Drosophila melanogaster: one gene and its partners. The protein of the gene in region 3 interacts with the protein of the main gene of each other region in a pairwise test. Each region holds a gene or a part of one and is shown on either strand. Other genes may lie near its edges.

The links.
Region 1: the proteins of CG15152 (region 3) and CG14086 interact in a two-hybrid assay, tested with the Drosophila melanogaster proteins (one large-scale study listed by BioGRID).
Region 2: the proteins of CG15152 (region 3) and nmd interact in a two-hybrid assay, tested with the Drosophila melanogaster proteins (one large-scale study listed by BioGRID).
Region 4: the proteins of CG15152 (region 3) and Ns3 interact in a two-hybrid assay, tested with the Drosophila melanogaster proteins (one large-scale study listed by BioGRID).

What each region holds. Positions count from the first base shown.
Region 1 is NT_037436.4:19,272,435-19,281,984, reverse strand, and holds CG14086 (uncharacterized protein), read right to left. Parts: upstream 6,195-9,550; 5' UTR 5,393-6,194; coding exon 5,266-5,392; intron 3,057-5,265; coding exon 2,996-3,056; intron 2,946-2,995; coding exon 2,871-2,945; intron 2,601-2,870; coding exon 2,352-2,600; intron 2,288-2,351; coding exon 2,161-2,287; 3' UTR 2,066-2,160; downstream 1-2,065. Other genes in the region: CG14089 (uncharacterized protein), read left to right, coding at 1,185-1,859; CG14085 (uncharacterized protein), read right to left, coding at 8,051-8,775, 8,836-9,300, 9,365-9,550.
Region 2 is NT_033779.5:10,300,238-10,307,373, forward strand, and holds nmd (no mitochondrial derivative), read right to left. Parts: upstream 3,711-7,136; 5' UTR 3,600-3,710; coding exon 3,418-3,599; intron 3,362-3,417; coding exon 2,434-3,361; 3' UTR 1,936-2,433; downstream 1-1,935. Other genes in the region: CG13138 (uncharacterized protein), read right to left, coding at 1-1,622, 1,707-1,718; CG5390 (uncharacterized protein), read right to left, coding at 3,925-4,532, 4,590-4,845, 4,912-5,268; CG4968 (uncharacterized protein), read left to right, coding at 6,808-6,882, 6,957-7,136.
Region 3 is NT_033779.5:18,111,106-18,116,806, reverse strand, and holds CG15152 (uncharacterized protein), read right to left. Parts: upstream 2,261-5,701; 5' UTR 2,125-2,260; coding exon 1,786-2,124; 3' UTR 1,587-1,785; downstream 1-1,586. Other genes in the region: CG44476 (uncharacterized protein), read left to right, coding at 3,672-3,676, 3,737-3,965.
Region 4 is NC_004354.4:1,459,295-1,466,859, forward strand, and holds Ns3 (nucleostemin 3), read right to left. Parts: upstream 4,927-7,565; 5' UTR 4,822-4,926; coding exon 4,720-4,821; intron 4,646-4,719; coding exon 3,352-4,645; intron 3,285-3,351; coding exon 3,079-3,284; intron 3,019-3,078; coding exon 2,800-3,018; 3' UTR 2,550-2,799; downstream 1-2,549. Other genes in the region: Lrpprc2 (Leucine-rich pentatricopeptide repeat containing 2), read right to left, coding at 1-1,264; CG14787 (uncharacterized protein), read right to left, coding at 1,569-2,351; O-fut2 (O-fucosyltransferase 2), read right to left, coding at 5,213-6,685. UniProt on the Drosophila melanogaster protein: GTPase required for the nuclear export of the 60S ribosomal subunit. Probably acts by mediating the release of Nmd3 from the 60S ribosomal subunit after export into the cytoplasm.

The DNA of each region.
Region 1 (9,550 bases), on a different chromosome or scaffold from region 3:
TGTTGATGCGTAATATATCTATCGTAATATTATATAAATATATATACAAAATAAAATAAACATAAACTTTAGTTATTCCTTTTCGGTTGATTCTTTCAATTATCTATGTATTGTCTGAATAATAATGAATACAATTTGAGCTCTTCTTATCCACAACAGAACCTTAAATAGCCTATATCAGGGATATAAACAAGCGAATAGCTACTTATAACAATTAATTGCAAACGCAGCTACCTCAACGTTTTCCGACCGAAAACACGAATAAGAGAGAATAATAGTTAAACAAAGTAAATTTATAATTAAAGAAACTATTTAATATGTTTATTGCATAGCAAACATGTGTAAAACAAAAGCAAAACAACAAATAAAACGAACTTTAAAAGTTACAACTATTTACATACATATGTTAACAAAAACAGAAACTTCTCGAACATAACTAATGTCCACAAATCCAAATGACTTAGACTGAAGCGTGAGTATGCAAAAAGTGTTATGAGATCTGCCCAAAAACCAGAAATTTGTTGAGGTTTATGTGGGCGGGGCTCTTGTCATCATGAGTTCCACTTTACACTTACAAAAGAATAATAAAGAAGCCACAGTTAAATAAAATTGCGAACAGACATTCTTAGCATGTCTCGAAAGTGTTTTCTTTTGTGCTTCACAGGGACGGACAGGTGGTATCTCAGGTGTTAGCAAATTACACATTAGTTATTCAAAATGGTTAATGTTTCCGTTTAAATGTAAAAATCATCATCTCGGTCACCACCAGTCATTGCTCTGGTTCCATATGAAATTTGTGTAAAAGTTTATGTTATTTTTACGCGCAGAAATGATATACATATACCTGTTAATTGATCTATCCTAGAATACGAGAATTCACTTTTCATGGCTCGATCACAAAGTCCGACATCCATTTGGTGTGAAAGTTCTTTCATCAGCCCAAAAACTCAACTCATTCATTGAATATTATGCAAATCAGATACTTTATAAATAAATGGCTTGGTTTATTAAACAAGAGAAATTAGCATACGATACAAATATAATGCGATCGTAAGACAAGACATATAGATCTCAAATGAGCTATCTTAACGGGAGTTTGAATGATTCTCCTCTGTTGCCATTTTTCAAACGCATTTATCCACATAAAAGAAGTGACTGCGATCTGATTTTCGTTAGTTCACAGCATGTCGTCGAATCTGGAAGTTCTCTCTGCGAACTGGACTATTCTGCTGGTGGCACTACTGTCTGTTCTTGGGGGAGTTTTCGCCAAGGATGATGCCTCAGTGCCCCGGCTGATCACCCTCCAAACTGGAAGTCCCGCTCCAGCCCCGCCACAGGAAGTGATCATAGAGGAGGATCACGATCATCAACATTATCATCCGCCACACTATCCGCCAAGCTATTCGTATCCGTATCCTCAGCCACAGCCATGCGGTTGTCCGCCCGGTCCTCCAGGTCCACCTGGTCCACCGGGACAGCCGGGGCAGAAGGGCTATCCCGGCCCCAAAGGATCCAAGGGTGATCCCGGCGAGAAGGGGCCGCGTGGAGATAAGGGCCACCCCGGGATGCCTGGAATCCCTGGCCAACCTGGTCCTCAGGGTCCTCCTGGATATCCCGGAGGTTCATATCCACCGTATCCGTATCCTCCACCTCCTCCTCCTCCATCACATGGACATGGAGGCCCTAAAGGCCACCAGAGGCACTACTATAACTACTATGATGAGGACGAGTATGATTACGGCAATGAGCGTTCTTTTGGTCTGAGAAAAACCGAAGAATTCGACGACCAGCCCTTCATTTTGGCCTTTAGTGAACGCAGAAATCCGTTTAGCACAAAAAACAATAAAAGACGAAATTAAAATAACATTATTTAAAACGAAATAGCTTTGATAATTATTTCTGTAGGTAAAAAGCAGATACCCAATACTTAAAAGGAACTTTCAAAATTCTTTTGAAGAATGTCCTTTTTGACTTTTGAGTGGCTTCGTTTATAAATGACACCAAAAATCATACAAAGTGTGGGTTTATCGATTACCTATAAAAATATACCACGCACTCAGCGTTTAAATCGAAACCTCTTTACAAACTGTATATTATTAGACATTTGTTAAGTCGTTTAAAATCTCACATTACATTAGGCAGAAAAGCTGGCTTAAACTATTAGCAAACATCGTCGTCTAGGGCGGTGTGGTCGTCGCCCTCCTCCTCCGCTTCCTCATCCAATCCCGCTTGCGTGGCACCAATCTCCGCGAAATCATCCTCCATGGTATCCACAAAGCTCGACACCCTATCATCGCAGAACAAACAGACATTAGAAACAAATAACAAAGACATTCGTTGGCTGGCATCACTTTTCAAAGTCGCACTGCGGCAGGAGACCCTCCTCCTTCGAGGCGCTGAATCGGAGCAGCGTGCACAGTCTGAGGAGTCCGAGGAGTATCAGGAACATCCCGGCCACATAACTCAGCCACAGATTGTGGGGATACAGGATCAGGCAGATGCCGATGACCGCATAAACAGGAGTGGGTCGCCAACCGCCACAAATCGCTGAAAGTCGCCAGCAGGCCAAGCAGCTGCAGGACCTTCGCTGGTAATTATCCCTGAAACAAATTGAATTCACAAATATGTGAACAGAGAAAAATTTGCAGAGAAAAATCTGAGCAAAGGCACTTGATATAGAGTATTGTATATAATAGTAAAGTATATCATATTATAGTATAATTAGGGTTTAATTAGTTTTACAACTACTAGGCTTGGTAACTAGAATTTCTATATTTCATAAATAATAACTGCTAATTATCAAATAATATATATACGAATAACTATAATTTATGAACATGTTATTTGGTAATCTTGAATAGTTTTCTTACTCTGCGCACTGAAGTTGCAGGAAGATAGTCACAAGCCACTTGATCTCGATAAACATTACCAGCACGGCTGAAAAACTAACCAGAAATTAGTATAGTTATGGGGGATATTTAGATCCGTGACTTACACTATATAAAGACCGGCCCGATAGCCATGCATGTAGACATCAACGCCAACGCCGCAGATAACTGAAATGAAAAATGGCTAAAGAAAGGTTCGGTGCGGGGGGTCCTTTTTGGCGGGTTGAAACGAGGAGTGTTATCCTTGAACGAGCCTATAAAATAATGTGAGTGTGTCTAGGCAAATATATTTATAAGCATATTTATTGAGCTGGGCCTTTTTTGTTTACCATGCTTTGGCCATAAAATGTAATACAAAACCAATGAATGGAAACGAGGTGAGCTCAAGAAGTTTATCGCAATTTTACTGAAGCTTACATCATTTGCAATAGAGTATTTTAAGAAGGCAATGTCCTACACATTACGAAATAACATAATGATAATTAATAATAAATAGCTTGGAAGAAACTTCAATATTCATGACGAACTTAAATTTTATAACTTAAAAGGTTTCTATATTTTTGTCGAACAGCCCTCCGCAGGGCATTCATATTCTAACCACATTATGGTTCCGCTTCACATTTTGTCTTAGCCAAATCCACTTTGAGTGTATAAGATATGGTTAGATGTGGTTATGGAGCCACCACGCCCAGTGGTCCATAAAAATACAATCTAATTAAGTTGTTTTTATTATGCCGGGTCGCGAAAAACCAATCAGATTAGCCAGTTAGATATATGTATATGTATGCCCCATATTTAAGCACAACTGCAGAACCGAAACCAAACCAATTACATTAAATGCTGTCAACGGAGATAAAAATTGAAAAAGCGGAAATCGAAAAAACATGCAAAAATTATCTGGATAATTGAAAGCGGTGGGGGAAAAATAGATGCCGGGCAAGAGGAAAACTTGGCGAATGGCTGGCGCCTAAAGGCTAACAACACAGCTCATTGTCGACCGTATGGAAAAGTTGCTGATAAGGGGAAAATCGGGCTGGGAAAACTCTGCTCTTGGCACAGGATGCCAGTCGTGAGCTGCAAGCTGCAAGCTGCATAGAGGCCAATGCCTTGTTAATGGCTCTGCCAGAGAGTTTCCTTGGAAAACCCCATCCCTCTTACCCGATCCCTATAATGCGGAGCTTATGAACTACAGAGATTTTATACTTTGTTTTCCTGCGTGCCACTGCACCCATGATGGACCCCAAAACAATTTGCAAAGAAATTAGTTTGAACTTGACCCGAAGTTTTTGTTGGCCTGCCTGCAGCTGGGCGATTTATCAAATTCTGTATAAAAAAACGGCGGTGCACTATCTTAAGCGCATTAGGAAAATGTCAGATGGTGGAGGAAAATCGTTATGATTGGCCACGATAAGCGTTTAAGCCAACTTTGATAACTTCACCAGATGGCAGAAAAATTGGGATGAAAAAATGTGATTGCATTTTCGTAGATTAGAATGCGGATACAGGGTGAAAAAGTTACGTTGTGCAACCAAACTGAATTCATTTCAGAAAGGTAATATTATTATTTATTAAGTTTTTGCTTCACTTTACCTTGCCTGTTTAATAAATTAAATTTGACTTCGTAAATTGACAAACGAAATGCCATTAAATTTCAGGCTGTCAATCTAAAATTATTGCCTCAATTTAAACGGAAAAAATGTAACACAAAGCTGGGTTGTACAAAAAAAGCATAATTGAATTGTAATTAAATGACGCAAAAAAAGGGAAATTAATCTTCTACCAATTTACTCTCTGTGTTCTATTTAATTGTTAAGCTAAACTGGAATTTCAGTAGTATTGGATGGCATTTATTTATTTTACCAAATTACATTAGGTCAAATATCCTGTTCATTAGAGCACATATTCTGTGCTATATGTGCTCTGTGAATATGGAAAACCATTTCCTTTTATGTACATTTATTTTGCCAGTCTTCTCAAACAAATGCAAAACCTTTGTGTACAATGAAAATATTGCTCAAAGAGTAATATTATATGAATTGAAAGGAACAATAAAAGCAGCCAATAAGAGCGTGTCCCCATTCAGCATCGTCTTCGTCTTGCGAATCCCATTCAGTGCCAAGAAATATAATAAGCCACAGCACTCAACATATCCCGAGGCAATGGTTCCCATGCACAAGTATTTCCTACGATTTGTCAAGGGTAAACATTCCAAATAAGGGCCAGAAAAGCATTGCACATTCATACATAAATGCATGCACATGCACATGCATCATAGCCTCGTATCGAGATTGGCATTATCTCGAAACGGGGGTCACCTGGGCACCGGCACCGACAAGTCTTATTCCACTGGCTCGGATTTCCGCGCACTTGAGCTTACCGAATGAAGTCAGCAGACCAAAAACCCTTATCACAGGACGAAGGCACTCGCACGGCTCTGCGGACTGATTGCGGCGATGATGACGGGCGCGGCGAACGCGCTGCGATTGCAGTTGCATCTGGCTCATGGCTGACTTGGTTATATATATATATATATAGATATTTACTTTATGAATTTCTATCTATATTTGTTTTATGAATCGCCAAAAGTGCGGCTTTATTCTTAATATCTTATTTATTGGAGCTCAAGTTTTTCTTCTCCTTCGTTATTACTGATGACAAAAGTCGAAGCCATAGCATTTAAATTTTTGATTAATGTGTAAGCTCCACTTACTTAATTTCCAATTTATTTAATATATTTATTCGTTTTTAATTTCACTTTAGAACAATTTTAGTTTTTGGTTAAATTCAAATTTTCAATGTACTACTTTCTAATCCTCCATAACTTTAAATACTCTCATCCGAAACTGACGTTTTAGGTCCTGTCCAAGGGAATCGCTAATAAAACAATCAAAGAGCCGTATCCACATCACAAAAATGCACTACGTGCCTGGCATACTAAGTGGCCAAACAACTTTGCGATAAATATTTTCAATTCCAGCTCGCACAGCTTTTAAATTTCACCATTTAACTCGGGCACACACTGCGTATTCGTAATGTGACATTTTTCGCACCTCTCCTTCCATTGCCTTTAATCACCGCACCGTTTGCTTGTGTGTGTGTGTGTGTGTGTGTGTGGCAACTAATGTCTGCAAATTACCGTTACCATTTGCACTTTGCCCCCGCACGTTGTGTGCCCTCTATAATATATATTTTTTTTATTAAATATTTTTCTTATTGTTGTTGAAGGTTTGTAACTTTTTTTATTTTTGTCAAGTGCCACTTTGCCACACGACTTTATGGCCGAGCTCTAAACAACGAACGTCCGCACGCTTCCAGCGGCGCCAGCAGAATGAAACTGAATGAAAGGACCGGCCAGGATTCGTTTCTATTTTCGGAGTCAGGATCCAGAGTCGCCGCTCAGGCTGCTTTTCCCATTGCTTTTCCTACTGCCACTGACTTTGTAGCCAAATACCAGCCAATGGGGCGGCGCTGCATTCGAAACTGCTAAGTTGATTTGTTACGAGAACGAACGCGTAGTGTTTATTTCTTTTTAAATGCGTTTTTGCGATTTAATGCTGAGATTTATGGAGACCGCAAAATTTATCCATGTTGTTTTAAAGATGTTTTTAATTGGTTAGCTGTTTTTGACATCCACTATCATTTGTATTTGAAAACTTATTTGGCGTTGGCAGTATGAGAATTCTTTAAAACTATGCTCTTGAAATATATTAATTGAAAGCAAGAATATAGGGCTGATTTTTAACTAGAATAATGCTTTAATTTCAATCAGAAGTTATTTAACTTGGTTTTTTTTTAGTATTGTAGTAGGAATACAATTTTTGAATTACATTGTTAATATAATTAAGGAACTCAAATAAATAATTAATTTTCTTTTTGTCTTCAGTATTTTAATTAGAACTGTTTGTATGTTTTATCTCTTTTTTTTTGTAAAAAGTGTTTCCTCTCGCGATTTATTGTGTAGCGTAGCGCATTGGGTCAGTCTTTATAGTCCTGCGGTTTTTTACAAGAAGGCACCATGGGCGAGAGCTTAATATTGTGTGTGATTTAAATATATTCCCACCCGAATGCTTACTTGATTACGATTTTTCCAAATGTAAAAGAAGAGGGAAGTATGAAATTTACCTACGATTTTACACAACGAAAATCTTACTTATATGCACTTGATAAATATTCTACCAGGTGTAAAGATAATCTTTAACTATTACAAATATTGAAGTTTTAAGCCTAAAACAGGATTCTCGGCCCACTGCTCAAAGCCAGCTTGATTTTATTTGTCACGTTGTCCTGTGTGTGAAGCCAGTGCCTCATGTTGTTGCCACTGCTCAAGCGGCTCTGTGTGTGCGTGCCCTCGTCCTGCAGGTCCTGTGGATCCCCGCACCCGTCTTTGGCCACGTTTCAGTAATTTTCATAACTGGCTGAATGGTGAGCGGAGCGGCGGGAGGTGTAAAGAAGCTCAAAAGACAACCAGGAGCAAAGCTGAGCAATTGCCAAGAGGCGGACGAGTACGCAGAATGTGGACAAAAACATTTTCGGTTGCTACACCGCCCTCATCCTCATAAATTAAATGGGGGCCAAATTCAGGAGAGGGGAAGCACGAGTAAATATTTTTTTAGCTCCTCCGCTTATTGTCCTGTGCATTTGCTAAGGTGTCTGTCGTCAGGCTTGTTTGCATTATGCGGCGTTAATGACATCCAAAGTGGCAGCCGTCGCCCCAAGGAAAGTCTCCACTGTCGCCGCCATCTACGACATAATTCACAGATGCCCCACACTCTGAAAAGTTAATTTCCTTAAGGAACAGCTCGAGGATTCTAGCGAAATACTTCTGAAGGTCGTCCTTGATACCGCCTCCTGCAGTTGGAGTCGTTTGTCCAGGTCTTCTATGCTTGCAATTGGTCTTACACTGTACACAATGAAAAAAGTTGTAATTTGCAAAAACAAAATTTTACATTTATTGTAATGTTTGTTTGTTAGTTAATGTCTTTTAGATATGGTTAGAGTTAATTACTTTGTAGCCATTTAAAAAAGGCTTTTTATAATTTATTGATCCAATTTGGTGTCCTCCTCACTTTGATAGCTGTTCTAATTTTTCTCATTTGCATAGCGTCTGCATCACTATTCATTTTTTTAAGTGCATTCCGTCTTAATGACGCTTTCCGCGCCGCTCACTTGGGAAACTCCTTGCGCCGCTTCATTATCTTGGTAATCCCGGCCACCATGGCCACCTCGGGCAGTGACAGCTTGGCATCCTCCTGGAAATCGCAGCGTCTGTTTAAGTGCAGACAGGTCCGTTCCGGATTCAAGGACAGCGGCATCTGCAACCAACTGACGTAGTCGATTTTCAAAGAGCCTGTGAGCAGCTGGTCAAAGGGGGTGTTCCCAATGAAGAACATGGACCTCAGCACCGAGGTCTTGGCCTCCTTGATGTTCTGACCCTGTATGCCTTGGAAAGGACTGGGGTCATTGTCGCCAGTTCCCAGTTGCTCGAGCAGCCAGTCCTTGTTGAACTTCAAATAGTTGTATACCACTTTCAGGGCCTGTTTTCCGATATTTGTGGTCAAAACATCGCTGACCAGGACTTCGGCTATGTAATCAGCGATTCCCACATCCAGTTCCATGGCATAGTTGTTGGGTGGACTGTGGCTCAGGCGATCGGACTCCGCATTGGTCAGGGCCAAGTCGTCCATTTTGATGGTACTCACGGCACTCATTCCCCCAGCCCCTCGGTTATTGGACCCTGCAGTTCCACCAAAGTCCGTGTCCAAGTTGATACTCTCTTTGGCCTGTTTAAGAAACAGCTCGATCTGATCCGTATGCTTGTCATCCTCGTCAATGGAGCAGATGGCCTCCGATATGGAGTAACAGATGGCAGCCTTGTCCAGATCTTTAGCTAATCATAATAGGATGTAAATAAAAAAAATCAAGGAAGGTGTATGAAAAGTTTACATACCCTGCTCATACATCTCTGCTGTTTTGATCAATTCTGTATAGAGTGCAGCAAAAACCACCTGCAACAGCACTGAATCTCCCAACGGCCTGGTGGATACTGGAATGATGTCCTGCAGCAAGGAGGCAATTTTGTACAGCCCCTCGGGCAGGCAATCCCAGATCTCAGAGACACACGTTAGGGCCAAGGACATGGCCTGGTACATACTGGCTCCGTTCTCCACGGCATTCACCAACATATCCACCACACAATCGAGAACAGGGTACATGAAGTGCATGATGGCCTCTAACCAGGGTGTTCGCTTCTGGTTCCACACCTGTCGCTTGTCCAGGCAATCACTCCATCCTGCAATCGCGTGTTCCTCCAGTGTTTTGATAAGGCAGGACTTGATATCTACTGCCTTGCCCACAGCCACCACCAAATAGGTGAGAGATAGGACGATCTGGTAGTTGGACTGACCAACTGGATCTGTATGAAAGTAATAAGTAACATTTAAGTTACAAATTCTAGACAATAAAATTCTAGATCTTACCAATATCTCCAGCTATAGAATCTGTGACATTAAAGCACTCTCCACGACACAAAAATGCCTCGCACTTTTGAGGGGCACCCTCAGCGCTTGTAAACGAAATCTTTGCCACGTTTTTGAAGTTTTCCGATGAGGGTAAGTACTGCATCAGGTGGCGCATTATAATGCCAGTGAGATAGGCATCCCTCA
Region 2 (7,136 bases), 7.8 Mb from region 3:
TCTGCTGAAGCGGATTGGATTGGCAGTTCCACATGTATAGGACTTTGAAAGGCCATTGGTTGGAGTTGTACAAACTGAAATGGTATGGAGAATGGCATACCGCGATAGGCATTAGCCGATTCCTGTGGACTTAGGTCTACGTTGGAGCTATTGACAAAGTCTGGAGCAGAGTTGGCGGTCTCCAAATCCTTTCCCGTGATATTGAAAGGAGTAGGGGGACCGACGAGTTTCAGGGAAACCCCATCCCGTCCAGGAGAAGTCGATTCAATGCTAGTTTTGGGTACGTATTCCTGGTTATACTGCGAATCAAAACTACTTTTTGTTACGTAATCGTGCTTAAATTGAGGATCAATACTACTTTTCGTCACGTAATCGTGCTTAAATTGAGGATCAATACTACTTTTCGTCACGTAATCGTGCTTAAATTGAGGATCAATACTACTTTTCGTCACGTACTCGTTTTTAAACTGCTGATCGAGATTAGTTTTCGTTGCGTAATCGTGCTTTAACTGTGTGGGCACGGAGCTTTGATAGTCCTCCATCCTCGGAGGATGATCCAATTCCCTAGATTTGTATATCCTGTTGTAGTAGTTTGAGGATGGTAGGCTGGATGGTTCGTGTTCTCTGGGCGGTGGATGATCCATTTCCATGTTAAATTTGAACTCCTCGCCGCGTGGATAACTTTCGTAGAGTGATGATGACTCGAACTTATATGGCTCGCTGGAACGAATGTAAACGGGAACCTTTCGTTCTACCTCAACCTTATAGGGCACTGGTACCTTCTTCTCGAGATGAACTGGCACCTTTATTTCGACCGGATACGGAACAGTCCGGAGCACTGGATACGGTTTCGGTACGTGGACTATTTTCTCAATTATCTTTTCGACCACATATGGTTTGGGCACTTGGACTGGCTTTGGGATGTGAATCACCTTTTCCACTATCTTTTCGATAGGCACGTGCACTATTTTCTCAACTGTAACATTCACCAGCTTGGGCACATGTACGATCTTCTCGACAATTTTCTCAATGGGCACATGGACGACCTTTTCCACGGGATACGGTTGTGGTACTGTTTTGATCAGCTCCTTTATGTGGTTGTGATGATGGTGGTGATGATGATGCTTGATTTTCACCTTCATCCGCTTCGCATCCTTCTTACTCGAGTGCTCGACATGTTCGTGCAGAATCGCTTGTGTTCCGACCTGTTCGGATGCCTGGTATTGACCATCGTCCTCATCGATATGCTCGTGGATCTCTTCGAATGTATGATAATGCCTACTTTCCGTACTCTCATCCGCATAATTGGGACTCACATTTTTTCTTCGAGCACCAGATGGCTTATATTTCAGTTTATTCCTCGTCATTTTATCGCCTTGCTTTTGATAGTTTTTCACACCGCGTTTCAAAGTCACATTGCGTTCGGTTTCCCGATTATAATGTTGCAGATCCAGCTTTTCCGATCTTCTTCCGGTATTGTGAGTAGATCCTTTTCCGTATTCAGGATAGCTCCACTCGGCACTTTCGACACTATTGGTTTTATTCACAGCATAGGAATTACTGTGTGCAGTACTTCCAATAATTATTAAGGTTATGAATAGGTATCCAGGAATCAAAGTTAACTGAAATAGAAAGGATGCGCGTAAATGAAGTATGTACATACAAAATATCTCCTATCAAAAAGACAAATTGGAAATATAGCTTACCATTGGGTTCATTTTTTGTTAAGTATATAGTCTCGCTTGGATTTGAAGTGGTTTAATCAACGCCTTCAACAGAAATGATTTGAGCCAATCGAAGAAAGTATTTATATGAGCACGAAACATAATTAAAATGTGCAGAAGCAAATTTCTTCGCTTGAAGTTTGTACACTCTATATTTTTCTTAAATTAAGAAATTATACAAAAACATCAAGAACTAATTTGTTTTGGTTTGATTATTTAAAATGTATGCATGTTTTTATTCATTTTTAATTAGATATACAAATGTGTAGCTTTGAAATGCCGTCAGAAATAAACGACCTTTTTAAAAGAGAATAAAACTGCACAAGTTTACTTATATTTTTTTTTACGATTGAAAGCCCACGGTCGCGTGACGCAAGTTGTGTGTGTGTTTGAAGAAGTGTACAAGTGCAATATCTTTATAAATGTTTGAAATTTCTCTAGGTGAATATTTCACAGAAGCCCGTAAATGTAATAATTAAAGTGCATTGAGCTCCGCTTTACGGAAATGCTATGGATTGTGTAATTTCCTGCAGTATCCGTTGCTGTTTTCAAGACTACCAAAACTACGTTTTCCGGATACCCATTTTGGAATGCAGAGAACAGGGTTAATTAACACATAACATTGGAGCTCCTCTCGAAAGGCAAATAAAAAGTTTATTATACAAATTTAAGTTGGATATATCGGGAGCTTGAATAAACAATGGTCAGCTTAATCTAATTCGATTCTATTCTCTAAGAATAGGCTGCTCGTGTGCATCTTTGATTCCTTAATTTTTAAGTGCGAGCCCAGCAAATCGTCCATGGTGATGCGGACGTTGTTGCGATCAAGCGCTGTAGCTGACGGATCTCTGGACGTGATGAGCTGCCTCATTCGGTAAACTGAAGCATTCCGGCACATTTCCCGCAGGTCTGAGCCCGAGAAGCCATTTGTGAGCTTGGACAAGCGATTCAAGTCGACATCCTGACTTACTTCCTCCGATTGGAGGATCAGCTTCAGGATGTCTTTTCGTTGGGTCTCCGAGGGCAGACCAATGTGGAATTGGGCTGGCATGCGGCGCACAATGGCCTTGTCTAAATCCTGCGGCCTGTTCGTGGCACCCATCACAATCACCGTCGAGTTGGCGTTCGTGCTGAGGCCATCCCACAGCATCATAAACTGGGTCTTCATCATGGCGGTAGCCTCGTGGTCGTTCATGTTTCGAGATCGCAAAAATGAGTCTATTTCGTCAATAAAAATAATGCATGGCTCGATTCGCGATGCAAGCGAGAAGACAGCAGAAGTCAATTTCTGGGATTCCCCGTACCACTTGTCGGTAAGAATGGCGACGTCCAAGTTGATAAAGCGCATTCCCGCCTCTTTTGCCGTCGCCTTCGCTATCAGCGTCTTTCCACAGCCCGGTGGTCCATGGAGCAGGACGCCTTTGGGCGCCTGCCACAGCTTCGAATGCTTGAAGAGATCCTTGTGCTGGATTGGCAGCACCACCGATTCCCGGAGCTCCTGAATGACTGAATCCAGACCGGCGATATCGGCCCAACTGACTGTTATGTCGGCGGGAACAACAAGATGTGACGCAATCATAAGCTCGTAGTCGCTAAACTCTTGCCCTCTTAGCTTGAAGCCCTCCTGCTCGGCTAGCCTGCATGGAAAAGGTTTACACATGTACAATATATGCTATATGAGTCTAATATAAACCTCTTAAGCTGCTCCTCAGCCAGAACTTTGGCCTTTTTCTTGTTTTTACTGGTCGGATCCATCTGGTTCATCATCCATTTCACCGAATAATATGTGATCAGCGAGGCCACAGACAGGCGAACCAGTACCTGGAATATCTGCCCCTTGCTTAGATCCGATCCGCCCAGTCCGAAGTTGTCCATGTTTCTGCAGATATTCTATTTAGAGCAAATACGTTGGCCTGCACGAATCTAATCTTTCTTGTTCTTATTCCCCATGCACACCGACGACAGTGTGACCAGGTGCTCCGACTGAAATTGACATCGATAAGCTCAAAATTGCTGCCAACTGAATTCAATTTTTGTTAGCCTATTCCTTTTCCACTGTTCCGAAAATATTTTTTCAGCTTAAAATAAAAAGATTTTTTTTTTTTTTAATTTTGAGTATTAACATATTGGGCATATATTAAGTGAGAGCATTGTGAAGCATGAAGATTAAAACCCACAAATTCAAGTGACAATTTTGCTCTTAGGGTGTATAGTGCCTGGGGTCAATACTCCAAATCTTCAACTTGGCGTCGATCCACGGACGAAGCTTGGCCACGCTGGCGTACACTCCGGGAATGTTCACCTCGCCGCATCCGATGCCCCAGGCAACAATGCCGGCGGACTTGAAGCGGTTCTTCTGGCCAGCAATTGGACACACCAGTGGGGAGCCACCATCACCCTTGCAGGTGTCCTTGTCCTTCTCACCGCCGGCGCAAATGAAGCTGTCGTGCAGAATGAAATGCCTGCCGAGTCGAGTTTCGCGCAGATTCGTCTCGCACTGCTGCTCGGGCACCACGGGCATGTCGACCTTCTTCAGGATAACCTGATATTCCCCATCCTTGCCGAACTTGTTCTTGCCCCAGCCGGTGGCATAGCAGCGATCGAAATCGAATTTATCACCCACATTGGGCAGGCAAACGGTCTGAATGTTCTCCTGGAGGGTGAATGGACTTTCCAACAGCATGACAGCCACATCGTTATAGAGCGATCCCTTGTTGAACTGCTCATGGTAGATTATTTCCTTGACATATCGGTCTTCGTGCCTTCTGATCTCAGTCTGCGTTTGCGTATCCCATTCGCCAGCTCTCACTAAATGCCAGTTCATAATTAGATCTCATAGATGGCATAGATGGCATGTACACTTACCAACAATGCTACTGGGCTGTTTGTTGTGAACGCAATGCGCCGCGGTCAGAACCACATTGGGAGCTATCAATGCTCCTCCACATTCGTACAGGTTAAGGTTGCCTTCTTCCCGGAGAATGGCCAGCATCCAGGGGAATTCGCCGAATTCGGCCTCCTGGTTGACAGCTCCAGTGATCTTAAAGCCAACGCCGTTGGGATTTTGGTAACCGCAGCCCTCGGGATGATCAGGCTTAAACTCGAAAATCGGATCTTTTCTCTTAACAAATAAAATTATAGTTTAATTTAAGTAATCAAAGCTTATTGGTATTTATGTATGTGTTACCTTGTTGGGCAGATCACAGCAAAGATCCAAATAGTTCTTGCATTCGGCGTCCGTACCAAGTCGAATGTCAATGATACCATCGCCACTGGTGTTAATCGTATCATTGGCGCACAACCAGCGAGGAACACACTCCTTTTGATCGCCACAGGACTGGTACTGCGTTGAACTCGATCCTCCGTTTTCGGATCCCGTGCTACCGGACGAATCCTTGGGGTTCACCACTGGCGGGGGAGGGGATGATGGTTTGGGTGTTTCGTCCGTTTTAAAGATGTCCGATATCAATTTGTCCAAGGAAGAGTCCTGGGCACCACAGGAAAATATGCACAGGCATATTACTAGGCAATTTAGTAATATCATATTCCTGGAAAGCAAAATTAAATCATGCTCTTTACATATTTACATAATTAAGGTCAGAAAGCTCACTTATTCGAGGAAAGAGATGAAGATGAAGGTAAGCAAAGTGAGTAAAGCTCGAGTATTGGTAATATAATAATGATTGTTATTGCTGGAATATCGCACTTAAACCGGATAAAAGGTGAATGTGATTCCCCCAAAACAGAGTGACACATTTTAATGGAAGGGAGACGCGGATACGAATACGTTTATGTTTATGCGGCGAACAATTAACCTAATTAACTCTAGAATGTATTGTCTTATCAGTGAGGCTTTGCTTTCTTTTTTGAATACTAAAATTCCGAGCAAATATATACATATGTACGTATTGTTTCTTTTAGATCGCCTCATTATCAATCCTGATTGCTTTTTTGTTTAAATATGACTTTTGGCGATAAGAAATGCTAATGTATTGCGGTGGGTCAATTTTCGCTGTCAATAAAAACAAAGCATGTATAATTACTTTAAAACACAAAAATAGTTTCTTATGTGTAAGCGCAATCCCTCCATTTTTCGCAAGAGTTAATAATAAGTTATAACACACTAATTAATTGCCATTTACACACAAAGGTTCACCATTTTTGCTAACAATATGTTCCTTGCAAATAAAATAGGGCAAAAACTGGTTTTAGTTTCGAGTAAACTTAGCATTATACAATTCTTCTTCATTAACATATATAAATGTATTCCCATTGCCGCTGATTTGTGCTCATAAAAGTACGTGAGGCGGTGATATTTTGTACACTTTATTCATTGAACTTTAAGATCTTTTTGATTGATTAAAATATGTATATACACATGTACATACATATATGGATGAAAAATGTATTGTAGATGTTACAAGACATAGAAACCACCAAAAAGATTAAACTCTATCAGATATCCACATAACTGAACTACACATTTTCAATAAATTGAATTTGAGTCCAATTTTATTTAGTATAAAGTGTACTCTATTAGTAAGACTTACTTAATTTATCAAAGTAGCGCAACGTTCGCTGAGCAATGAAGAAAACACTCAACTGAATTGATTTCTTATTCAATCTTAAGTCTCAGCCGATGATCTTCTGACGAGAAGCTTTGAAAGCTGGTTCCAATTGAAGTTCCCAGCTTACGTATTACACAGCGGAAAACCAGTTCAAAGTTTTATTTTATTTTATAAATTTATAGATAATAAACATACACAAATTATGTACGTATATTTGTTATTAAAAACCGTTTTAATGGTTTAGCGTGTTTGTAAAATGCGATTTCAAATATTTATTTATTTTTATTCTCGAGCCAAGGAACAACTGGAATTGAAGCCCGATAACGATAGCTGTGCGACAAAATCGAAAGCATCAGTGTGTCCGTGAGTTTCGCCTCTAGACCTGTGTGTGTGACATTTGATGCGCCTACACATACATATGATGAACAGGAATTCTTTTTAGTTCATCAAATGAATACAAAGTAAAGTAAATTGAAAGGAAGCGCCGATCGCAGTTGTTCAGTATTCAGAGAAACATGGAGCCGTTTACCCATAATGATGGCAATCGCGACGAACTAATAATTCAGCAGAAACGGGATATTGAAAAAGAGGTGAGTCTGCAGAAACACTTACACACAATAGCGACAATGAACCGAGAAATAATGCCGAATTTCAATAATTGCAGATCAGCGACACAACTCCCTTGGTCAGCGAGCAGTTGCCACTCACCTGCTTGTATGCGGAATACAGTGGCGACGAGATCTTCACCGCCAAGATCCAGGATCTGTCCAAAAAGTACAAGTTCATTCGCCGCACCCGCCCCGATGGCAATTGTTTCTTCCGAGCCTTCGCCTACTCCTACTTG
Region 3 (5,701 bases):
TGCTGTGATTTAAATATTTAAAAAGTGGCAGAAATAAAATGGAAGACAGCTTTTGTTTAAATGCCTTTTATGTACAATATTGAGCCAGCAGGCAATCGAGCAATAAATCAATGCAAAATAATGCATGTGCATATCGAACGTTTTTCTTGTTTTGGCTCAAGGTTGTATTGTTGTTTATCACAAAACGGTTTAAGCACCGCTTTGCGGCACCTTTAGTTAAAACGTTTTTCCTTATTCTACTGCATACTTAGTCGCTACATTCAAAAATGTATTGAAGGCAGTTTCGAATTAAGATTTAAGATATGGCGGGCTTAATTACAAATATAGCCACATTTGTTTGATTCTTTTGCTCAATGCTAGAAATTACTTTATTTGTATGCATGTAGTGCCATAAATCCGATAAATATTCAGTTGTATGTATTTAAACGACATTTCCTTGATATTAAAATGTTATATCTGCTACTGCTTTTTATTTGTGAAATCATTTCCAACCCGGTTTTTTGCTCCATGGCATTACAAAGTGTCCGCGGGGCGGTTTCGGCGCCGTGGCATCCGGTGGTCGGCGACCGGAAATGGCATTAATGCCTAAGCTCGACGCCCTTTGCGCCATTATAATTAAATGCGCTGGCGACTTCTGCACTCCGTCTGAAAAGTGCACCCTGCAAATAATTAGCACGGCTCGGAATCCTGTGAGTAATTAAGGTAAGTCAGCTGTTGCCTCCGTCTCGAGTGGGGCCAAAAAACGGAAAGAGCAAAAAGTGTCGTCCATTGTCAACGGAAATTAAAGTTTAATGGGACAACGTTTTTTTTTTTTAGAATTTCCAAGTGAGAAATAAGCTTGTCCGGCTGTTTTTACGCTGACCAAATGTTCGTAACATTTCAAGCTATTAAACTAGAATTTTACCAACTTGATGGCACACACAAGTGAGAAAACTGTTGTAAAAACATGGAAAATTCTGAGGGAGTCGGAGTTTTTCCAGCAGTGGCATGTGAAAAGCAATTACAGAAGTGATTTAGAAAAATGCAAATGTGAAAATATTTAGAGAACTATTTCCATTGGGAACTGGCATAGTTGAAAATTCGTTGTATTTTTTCTTTTTCAAGTGAGAGTGGAAATAATTTTAATAATTTTGTGTGCCAAACACCGGCGCAGATGCGGTTTGTGACACTTCCTTTAATAAACAACAGCGTTAAATAATTGAATTTCCACTCTCCATCGCTAAGCCGCTATTAATGAATTTTTAATTAGCGTGCTTAATTTAATTAGTTAATTGATAAGGGAATCTTTTTTATGTACTTTGCTTTGTTAATCTCTGTGATGTATGGAGCTTTAATGTGTCACTACAACATTTGTCCTTTATACATCGACAAACAAAATGCGTATTTATTTTGCAGTTAAATGGCTTGAATTCGTGATTCTTTCGTTCACTTTTGTTTGCTTATCTCACACAAAGCCCTTTATCTGGCCACCTTGTTTCGCTCTCTAGATTACGTTCATTTATGGGCCGTAAATAATTAGTTAATTGAACCGGAATTATCGGAAAACGTTAAAAGCACTGTCTAGTCAAAAATAAAACACATGGATTATGGGATTTCTTTCTTTACTTTGAACTTATATTAAATCATGATTTTTTGTTCTTAGCGCCTAATCAGTAAAGCCGCTTCCTTTTTAGTTAAGCTTTGCATTTGCTAGCAGAACACAGTTCGATTGCCACTGTTTGAAAACAGAACGTAGCTCGTAAGTGCGATAACGCTCTAAATTAGTCACGACACGTACATATTATTTCACCGCACTTTTATAGACTGCACCTCCAGCCAAATCATCACAGCGGCTATAGCCACATATATAGCCACGATCATGAAGATCTGCAGGGGACTGGCGGTGAAAACTTGGACCACCAGCATCACGGTTCCCAGAATAAACACCCCGGACAGGAAGCTGACCATCAGTATGGTGGACCAGTTGCGAAACCAGGCGTGCTTTTTATCCGGCGGCGGTACAAAAATCGGTTTCAGCGGGCTGTACTCCTTCTTATACTGAGTCTCGTATCCGCTGGTAAAGTCAACCTCATCGTGGTACGTCCCCGGACCCGAGGTTCCAGCCTTAGTCTCATCCGTGTCCATTTCAAAACGCGTTCTGCTCTCGACTAAAGAGCGATTCGCTGGTCTCCGGGCATTTTCAGCGGTTTTTTCCTTCCCTCTTTTTCATGATTACCAATCAGTTTGGGGTCTGGGTTATTATCGCCACGGCAGAAGGTGGTAATTGAGGCAACAACAAGGCAAACAGTGAACCGTCAAGAGCTGACAATCTTCTTTTTGTTGCTTGTGACTCAGATAAGATAACTATATAAGTCTGAGAAAACCCGTCAAACGAGAGCGGAGAAGAGTCTCAAAATGACAAGAAAATCACATTGAAGTAAGAGATTGCGAAGAGAGATCAATTTGTTCTACGTTATCAATTTATGCTTACTTACGAATCATCAAACCCTATCAACTTTGATAACAATCTATTAAAAGCGATAAATGTTTTACATTCATATATTAGGCATTTCAGTACTTATATACTTCTGGCACTCTGTTTCCGTCTTGAGAGATTCTCTTTTTTGTCAGTTTCCCCGCTTTCAGCTATCTGAAGCTCCTTCTTCAGTTCCGTCGCCGGCTTTAAAGGCTCCTTCTTGCCTTGCCTAACCAAGCGACATTGAGGGCTTTCTTCGCCGTGTTTCGTTCTTTTCGACAAACAGCAGTGCTTTGCGGATCATTTAGCTTGAACAACCCACAATGCCACCAATTTCAGCGTATTTTTTACCTTTAGAGATCATGTTTTTAATCAAATTTCTTTTTTCGACGGTAAAATGCTTGCCGCGACCCATGACTAGAGAACTTTTGGTCTTCGTTTGGAAAAAATTCAATTAAAACCTTTAATACAACTCCTTTTTCAAAATTTGTCGAAAAAAACCCAAAGCAATCACTCTATTATTCAGCAAATACGTGGTCAGTGCTATTTTTGTTACCGCCTCATTTCGCGCACTTTTGCAGCAAGTGCCCAAAAACAAAAAGAACCTTTACATTGAGAGACCATAAATTTCTTGCTCAGAGAGCCAACATATGGTACTTATTATTCATGCAATCTGACTTTAAAAAATATAAACATTTAATAATTATTTTTAGGAAATGAACTTTCCACCTCCAGTAGTGCTATTATTTTAACCGCAGCTGTATATATTTCCGTCTTGAGAGGTTCTCTTTAATGTTGTCTCTTAGTTTCAGTCAAATTCTCTGAAAGCTTTGGTTTTTACTTACAAATACCCTTTCTAGGGTTCTTATGGTGAGTTTACTCCTCTCAGAAATTTTCTTAAATAATTATTTTATTAGTTCATATTTTTTCTTACACTAATTTTAGTTATTTATCTAATGAATGTACTTGTGATCTCAGACTTACTTTACAGATACCTCTTATATAGTTTTACTTAGGACGGTAGTCCCTTAAAAATTTGTCAATATATTATCATTTTTAATGGTGCAAGCTGCATACGATCCGAAAGATTTTAGTACAGTGTGCCTCCGTTCTTGAATTCGATTCCCTTGAATATTTTTTCATGTTTGCAGATGAGTGCCTTCATCCAGTTTATACAGAGCCTTCAAGCTGAAAAGATCAGAGTGCCTCCAAAAAAATGGGGTATAATACTTATTTGAAAGTATTTCAAAAGCATTAAAGTGATAATTTGTTTATTTAAAGTGAAGAAAAAGATGTCTTATTGGATAGAGATAGTTGCACCCTCAACGGAGTGGACCAAGAACAAACCGATGCGATTCATAACGACTCTAATATGGAAATATTAACTGAGGAAGACTCAAGGCCATATACTTTTTTGCAAAACTTTAATTTCGTTGGCTTATGTGTTCTTTATAATTTTTGCATGCTTTTAATTGTTCTGTCCATATACATCTACAAACGATGGAATTAAAAAAGGGATTTTAAAATGATTTTGAGTACGTATCAAGCGCTAGTTAATTTGATTGCATTATGTATCCTGCTTAGCTGGGCTAACTTGTTTGCATTAGAAGAAAATGAAAGCTGCCTTCTGTCCTAAATGTACTTAAACTTCAGTCCACTTTATTGCCACCAAACAATTTAAGTTGTTGACAAAGTCATCAGCATGCATCAGTCAGCGGTTTTTAAAGAAAGTGCAGAGTCGGCGGAAAAAAATATGAGAAAACTCGCAGTTGCCTCTGTGGCATTTTTAGTTCCTTCAGCGCATCAACAAAACTTGTACATCTTGCTCGATGATCTACTCCGGATCTTGTTTACCGATTGTGCAACAATGTGTTCACTTTTAAATAATATCGAAAATCAGACTGTCTACTGTTTGTGTTTTTTTAATGGGAGATTGTTACTTTTATTTTTCGAAAGGTACACTAAATTCACTTTATCATTTCGATGCATTCGAATTAGGCAATTACTTACCCAGTGTGAACTTTTCATATCAACCCGGCTTATAGATAACCCCCTCGAGTTTGGCCCAGTTCTTCGCACCTTGGCCAGGGCTCATTATTCAAAGCTAAGACTCAGATTAAATGGAAAGCGATAGAATGACTGGCGGAGTGAAAAATGCTAAGAAAGAATCAAAAATTCATGAGGCGGTGCGCGCGAATTATAGCGACTTACTTGATGGTTTAAAGGCGCCCTTGCCGCGGCTATTCAGCTTTTTAGCTTGCCTGTTTTGCCCGCCAACATGCGTTTGTTGTTGCAAACTTTTTCCATCAAAAGTTTCGGTTTTCGATACGCCTGCTGCTGGCAGCTACCGATCCCCATTACCCATTCCTTATTCCCCGCTCCCATTTTCCATCCCCCCATCCATTCTGAAATTCCGCTCCAGCTTCAACTGGGAAAAGTGCCACTTCCGCTTTGCGTCAGTGCACACGGCTGCCGAGCACAAAAGTGTGACTGAAGTGGCTGAAACCAGCTCGATTTTCCCAGCCCATTTCCCGCCCACTTTGGTGGCGGCTGCCGAGGCTCAGGTGTTAATTAACTTGGGGGCCGGCACTAAATTTTAAAACTGCAACTTGCCCAAAATTAATGAGACTGACGTTTGTGCGAGTTACGAGCGAGCTGGAATTATAATTTCGGCATGGCGGACAAACTGCAGAGCAGGCTAACTTTCAAGTGGTCGGCAAGGATGCCCGGAGATCATGAATATTCATCAGGACGAGACGCAGCGTCCAATGTTAAGCCGTAAGCTATTGGTTGTTTCTGTCTGTTATACACGTGCTTAATAACATCTAAGCCTCTGTAAGCTATATTGAATCAGGTAGTTAATACGGATAGTAATATTTATAGAACAATGAACATTTGAAATCCACCCCAGCACCCCGTACTCGCAAAGTAAAGGGATATAGTAGATTCGTTCGCTGCACAGTTTGTAACAGGTAAGTGTCTTATGCATATTCATCAGGATCTTTTCCGTGTCTATCTGTTCGGTTCATCTGTCCGTTTTAGCGCTTTAATTTTGGGAACTGTAAAAGTACGAAAGTCCAGGTAGGCAGGCTTTTCAGAAGATTGCCACGCCCACTCTAACAACCATAATTGTCACGCCCACACACAAAATAATCTCGACAATCGTAGATCCGGCTTATCAGTTAATCTTGTTAGCCGAATGTAAAATGCATATTCAATTTTGGCATATATAATTCCATTTCAAGT
Region 4 (7,565 bases), on a different chromosome or scaffold from region 3:
GGGCCAACTCCGCCACCAAATGCAGGGCGCGGACGTTCTGGTTCCGCTGCACTAGTTGACCGGCGAACTGGATTGTTTGGTCCAACGGAACTTGGGCGCGGAAGAACTCCTGCAGCAGAAGTGCACCGTACTCATCCACGTTCTGATTCTGCAACTCGAACTTCGGAGCGGGCAACGCACCTACGAGCTGTATGACGACTTCGGTGCGTCCTTGGTGCACCAGCTGAATGCACAGGCTTCTGATGGCGGGCGGCAGGTCGATACCTGTTAGAAACTCGCGGGGCAGTTCCTTGACAAGCAGTTGGATTAGATCCGTGTCGACATCCTTGCTGGCGAGCAGACCCCGCAGCATCTGGAGCAGCTGAGGGGCGGTGAATCCGTGCTCCACCTGCAGCAGCTCCTTGGCCTGTGCCAACTGACCGTTTTCCAGCAGAGCCTCGAACCAAATGGCCTGAGTGCTGCTGCCTTGCTGTATTCCTGCGGCCCGCATGCTGGCTAGGACGGACTCCGCCCCGGGCAGATCACCGCTGCGGGCGTGGCCCAAAAGCAGGGCGTGAAAGTTGTGCTCCGTGAGGGCGAGGCTGCGCTCGCGCATCTCCGACAAAATCTCGGTGGCCATGCGCATGTTTCCGGCGGCGCCGGCCACGTCCAAAAGAGCGCCGTACAAGGTGGAATCGGCTGCTCCATGGTAGACGGCAATCTCCGCCAGCAACGAGCGATAGTCAGTCAGAGGCAAACGGTTCTGGCGCAGCACCTGGAGCTTCGTGTGGTAATGTGCCAGCGTGGGCTGGCCCAACTTGATCAGTTGAGCCCAGAGTCCCTTGAAGAGCTGAAGACGCTCCTGGCTGCTCTGAGCAGGAAGCAGTTCGGGCACACAGGACCCTAGAAGGAAGTGCACCTCTTCGATGCCGACTCCTAGCGGCGACGCAGACTCCTGCAGGAGCTCCAGCAGGCGCTGGCAGTGCTCAAAGTTGATCAGATCGTGCTGCCGGTAGTACGCCTCCAGCTGTGTCCACGCATCCGCCACGCTGGCTTTCGGTTTTTCAGAGGAGGAGGCGGGGCGCCGGCTTCTTCGCTCCACCGCACTGAGGACGCCACCCGTTCCCAGGGATCGCATCTGGAGCAGCGAGAACGGCACCGCTGGCGCCGCAGGCTTCGTTGCATAACGGAATGCCAGGCTGGCGGAGGAAGCGCTGCGTCCTGGCAGATGGCCCAAGCGCTGCCTGCAGAGCCACACGTTCCGCAACAGTCGTGCTCGCTGCATTTTGCCCAAGTTAATTAATCTTCCCCAAAATTACGAGATTTTACTTTCGCAGTTTTGCGGCGAGCAACAAAAAAAAAACAACACGCGCCGGCAATCAGCTGTGCCTTCCAGTCGAAAGATATCGAAAACAGTGCTGCCCATCTGTATATGCATACCCGTTTCCGTTGCAGATTTTGATTTAAAGTTTAAGTTAAGTCATGGAGCTCCAATGAAAGGAATGAAAAGAAATACCATGGGGACATGTCATTATTTTATAATCGCTATTTATTTACTTAATCGATTCAACGGATCTGGAAGCGCAACCCTACAGCGAGGATCTGGCCAAGCGGCGTCGCTGCGCAGCCAGCGGAGTGCCCTCCTCGCGCAATTCGGCCAAGAGGGAGTCCTGCCAGGGACGAAACAGGAGGCGCTTTGTCGCCAACAGGGAGGCGGAAGGCAAGCGCAAGTATTGGTCGACGCGGTGCCAAAACTCCTGCGGCTCTCGCACCACACTGGCCACAAGGCCACACTGGAGGGCAATGCTGGAGCTCGCTTGATCGCCCAGACGAAGCAGCCAGTGGACGTGTGGCACAGTCCAGCCGGGACCCACCTTGGTGCAGGGATCCAGGTGCGAGAAAGCGGGCACAAAGGCAGATAACTCCGTTGCGAAGACCAGATCGCACAGGCTGCACACGCTCAGGCCCAGACCGACGCACTGCCTCTCCACAAAAGCCACTAGGAGTTTGCGGTGCACAAGCAGCTTCTTGGCCAGCGAGCGCATCACAAAATTGGCCGCCTTCTCATGGATGTACTGCTCCTCGGCATCACCACTGCCCACAGCTTCTTCGTGGGAAGCGGTACGCCTACTCCTATTCTCCAGACCCTGTTTGAGAGCCAACGGTTCCATCTCACCGCCACATGCTGCAGAAAACTCGCCCGAGAGCACGACCACCTTAACGGCGGCGTCTGCACTCGCCAGGTCCAGGGCGCGCATCAGCTCGTAGAGGGTTCGGCGTTGCCAGCGCCGCTGGAAGCGTATGTGGAGCAGCCCAGAACGCTGTTCGACGACCAGCTCCCTGAAGTGCTTGCAGCTCTCGTTTGTGGCCATCGCTGAAGACTGCGTGATAGAGACTGTGGCCAAGTGATAGAAGACAAGAGCCGTAAGCATCTGCGCTTATCACGCGGTCAAAGTGCAGGCTTCTTTTCTCCGCGCAACTGCGCTCCTCCGCATCTCGAAATTACCTTCCATTCACGCATCTCTTAAACTCAATTGGGGGCGCCATTCCAACAACAGTTTGCTTTCATTGGTGTGTATGCTAAATATATGCTATCTTTGTGTTAATCGTTGTGTCCAGGCTGGGCCATCAGATGGCTTATCTATGTTTCTCTCAATCTGCTAGTTGCGCAATATAACTCTTTCAGTCTGAGATTGTGGGCCTTCAAACTCTCGAAGTCGGGGGGACTTTAATATATATGTATATACGTAGGTTTAATGCTTAAAATGTACAAGTGCCTCTTAGACACACCCTTCGGAATAAATAACTAATGGGCTACAATCAGTGCTCGTCCAGGTGCGAGAACTTTTTGCGCAGCTTCTCGCGCCTCTCCTTCTTCACATGACGCCAGGGCTTGGCCGCCGGATCATTGCCGGCTACTAGGGACCCGTCGTTGGCCAGGCGCACGTTAGGGAAGTTAGTGCGTCCTTTGACGTGGGCGTGCGTAGGCTTGTCGGAGAAGAATTGGTTGTCTAGCTCCTTGGACGTGCTTTTGTTGATCTGCGGAAAACGCGATCAGTTAGCAAAGGAATCACGTCTAGTGCAAAGGGCAAATCTCACCCGCATGGCTCGCTGCTGTTGGCCGGGCAGCTGTGATTCCTCGATGACCCTGCGCTGGCGTTCGGGAAAGGTGTGATACTCGGTCTGCGGTACAGAGGGCGGGCTCATGGCGTAGAGCAGTCTGCCATTGACGTAGTCTTTAAGCACATACCTGGCGGAACGCGCCTGATCCGGCTGCCCGTTGGAGGTCATAAAACCGCGATTGTCTGGAAAAGAGCGAGAAAGAGTGCGTTGTGAAATACTGAAATGCGTGCGCAAAGCATTGGCACTTACATCCATAAGCCAGCAGCAGCTCCTCCGAATGCGGTGGCCTTTCCATGTCCTCGCCTTCCAGCGGCTTGGCTATCACAATACCGTATTTGTCTTCAAGGACGTGGCGCGGAATGCGCTCGCACAGCAAGTTGACGGCGGGAACGTGATCGCGCATTTGGTCAATGGGCAGGATGCCGTTGAGCAACATGTCCGCCTTGGTTAACACAAAACTCGGCATCACCAGACCGGGACAGTCGCAGAGCAGTATGTCCTTGTCCAGGAAAAGCGTCTGGAAGCGTTTAGTTTTGCCCGGCGTGGCCGAAACGGACACCTTCTTCACTGTCATCAGCGAGTTGATGGTGCTACTTTTGCCAACGTTTGGGTAGCCGACCATTCCGACGGTCACGTGCTGCTCTGTGTGCCGGGGACCGGTGTAGATGTTTCGCAGGAACTCAATGAGCTCCAGGCGGGACAGCAGTCGGGGACTGTTCTTGTCCCCGGGCAATCGTGGCAGCTCATCGTTTTGAGTCTCGGGAATCGTCTTATATTTCTGCTCGATAACGTTCAAAGCGTCCTCCACGCTATCCAACGACTGTTTTATCTCCTCAACTGCTCTGCGCAGCTGTTGCACCTCGGGAAAGGAATCCAGGCACTCCTCCGCCTCCCGCTTCAACTCCTCCTCTACCAGCGTGGCCGAGTAGAAGGCCGTGCGAATACCCTCGCTGTCAAAGTACTCCGCCCAGTGGCGACGCTGTTCCTCAGTGAGCAGGTCCGACTTGTTTACCAGGATCATGTTCATCTTGCTAGGTTCCACCTCCTTTACGTAGCGCTCAAGGTCGGCGCTGCGGAACAGCAGCGGATTACGGGCGTCTACGATCTGCACAACGACGTCAGATCGCTCCACTACGCGCCACAGCTGCCGCCAGAACTCCAGGTTCTTCTCATACGGAGTCATCAAGATCTCCTCGTCCTCCTGCAGCAGCGCCAGGTCGCGGCGCCAGTCGAGAAATGCCTCGTTCTCGGCTCGCACTAGCTCCTCGGCGCTCGTCTCCTTGGTCCACTTGGGCCGCCGCGGGATCTTGAGCTGGTCACGGTGCTCGTCGTGCTTCTGGTGCATGCGCTGCTCCTGCGTCTTGCTCAGCAGTCCAACGCGCTGCTTGGGGTTCACGAACGTGATGTTCAGCTTCTCGGCCTGGAACTCAGTGCCGGCCAGCTCAGCCGTGCGCAGGAAGGCCTGGAACGACGACTCCTCAGTGACAGAGGACAGGTTGAGGCGGCCCCAGTCGTAGCCATCCTGCAGCTCGGTGGTGTGCAGCTGGTAAGGATCGAAACCGTGTTCACAGTGTAAGATCGAATGCATATGTATGTATTTTCTACGAGTGCTCTTACCATCGTGTCGTTGTCCACCTTGCGGCGCTGAGTGTGTCCGAAACGATCCTTGATCAACTGGCGGCCCAGGTTGGGGGCGCCGCCCTTGTTCTTTTTGCCCATGGCGCAGTCACTATATTCGCAAATCCACAGAAGAAATAATTATTTTGATTGTCAAAAACACGTGCAATGTTTGCCCGAAATGCTATCGAGGTCTATCGTGAAATCGATATGGCGAGATTCGATTCCTGTCGTCAATCGATATTTACAGGTCGAGTTTAAATTTCAATTTGCATTTTTTGGAATGTGGCAACGCTAAAGGAGCGGGTAAATTTAAACATTTACCCTCTGAACATTACACATTATAATTGACTTTTCTGCTAGCACTTTTCTGTTGGCTTTAGATTTATTTTTGGTACACAATCGCAGGTGGTTCGGAATCCCGTTTGCTCTCTTACGTTGGCTTTGGACTTAAAACTAGGTCTTGAGATGTCAGGTGGGAGCTACAGATGGATCAGTACGGGTCGGAATCTTCCTCGCTGTCGCTATCGCCATCCGCCCACACAATGGGCCACACGGCGTTGCGCGAGCAGCTGCCGCCTAAGGCCTTGCAGAACGTGTTAAAGGTGCTGGCCTGGGTAAAGCCGAGGATCTCGCGCTCCTCGTAGATGCGGTACGTGAAGGTGCTCTCGTAGGTGCCCACAAAGTAGCGGGCGTAGGCGCAGACCAGCTGGTCCACCACCGCCACGCCCCCATCCTTCAGCTCCCTTCGTTGGACATTCGACTCCGGCGCGAAGTGCACGAGGCGGAAGCGGTAGAAGAGCTCCTTTAGTTCCATCAGCTCGTATGGCGTGGCGTCAGTGGCCAGGAACACTGTGGTCATGTTAAACCCGCGCAGCAGCTGCTTGACCTGCTGGGCAGCCGCCTTCAGGGTGGGAGTGGTCGCATCCCGCGAGCGAACAAAGTCGCCCCGCCTTAGGTGGGCGCAGAGGTAATCGCCGCCCTTGGCGTTGCGCTTCGGCCGCTCCAGCTCCCACATGGCGGGCCGTTGGACACCGGCCGAAGCATCTGTGGTGTCCAGGGCCTGCCGTCGGAAGTCGGCGGCCACCTGTTCGAGCCGACGGGCGAAACGCATGGAACGCCGGGCCTGCCAAAAGTGCTCGTCGCCCCAGTGGTCGTGAAGCACCGTTTCGGCGCTGAGCAAAGCGTACGTGCGCATGTCGTCGACGTCCTCCGGTCCCGCCGTGTCCTCGTCGATCGCCTCGCGAAGCAACTTCTCCAGCAGTCCGGCGCTGCCCTGGAACCGAACGCAGTGGAAACGCCCCACGCGCAGCTCCGCCTGCTGCAGCAATGGTCCTCCCGACAGGGATCCCTCGCTGCACGGCTTGTCCGTGACGCGCTCGAACTTGTCCCGAAATATGCCCTGTTCTAGCATGACCTCGTAGTGCTGCAACCGGAAAGCGTGCCCTACATGGACCAGCGGTGCGCCAGGATTGCCGAATAAGCGCTGTTCGGCCAGGAATTCCTCGTAGTCCAGAACGGGCGCGTAGCGACGCAGACTGGCCAAGTCGAAGAAGTGGCTCCAGGGCAGTCCAGATTGCTGCAGGCCCTGCGAGTGCCAGTGGTAGAGGCGGGGCCACGGCGGCAGCACAAGGCGCACATGGCGAAAGCGCCTTCTCCTCTGCAGCCGGCGCACGAACACCGCCATGCGAATATAGACGTCTCGGCGCAGGTTGAAGCCCTCGGAGATGTTTACGTCGTAAAGGATATACACGGCGCCCCTCATCCCGAGCACCTCAGGCGGACAAGTCGCTGGCAGTGGCAGGATCTCCTGCAGGAACCCTTTGACGCAGGTGCCGCTGCTTCCCCGGGAATCGCCAATTTCCCGCTTTGCAGTCCCATTCCGGACGGCGGCATCCGAGCCGGTCAGCAGATGGAGGAGCAGGAGCAGCGCCGGGAACCCAAGCCTGGGCCAGCTCCCTCGCATTTTTGGTTTGGAATGGAGTGGCTGTGGCGGCGGTCAGTAAAAAACCCTAACGCATTTGGTATTTTACACGGGAATAAAACAAAGAAAAACATATGACTTTGATTTCTAACAACGGACAATCCACTCTTTCCAATATTTTAGCAGCTGTACAGATAAAACCTATAATTTTTTTTATAAAAAAAGGCCTATAGAAAACCCATGTACATTACGGGAGTGATACACCATAACTTTGCAAAAAAAAACCACACAGCCAAAAAACTTACAGTTTTGTGCAGCTTACGATCCCAACTAACGACCCATATCACTTTCCTGCTGATTTTGAAAAATTTATTTTTTTCCAAAATTTTGCAATTTCGATAAGGGATAACATCAAGAAATTTTGCGAAAAATGTAAAAAAATTTTCATTTCCAGCCTGGAACGCCATTCGATTGCAATTTTTATTGCGAGTGCAACGAGGTATGGCACTTAATGATGGGGCTGTTATTTACGTTGTGGTGAACAAAAAACTGGCAGAAAACCAGGATATCAGTAATAGTGTTCTTATCAAAAAATCCGCATTCTCATAAGGTTGTTGCCGAGCTCGAATGCAAATCGATGTCTATTTGCACTATTATTCCCAACGATTTCCATATAGCACCTGCTTGAATGGGTCTTTAAAAAAGCGTATGTAAAAAGCTGCGCGAAAGCTTCGCTCGCTAATCTCGAACAGCTGAGTGTGCAAAACATTTCGTATTGGCGTTCTGGCGTTTTGGGGCCGTCTGGATGCCTCACTCAGTCAGATACGAGATACGGAAGCCCAGCGAACGGAGGAGGGCGTGAGATGCGGACGCCGTGCGTGACCACAGTACAAACTAGATTACATTAAGTTAGACTAGCTAA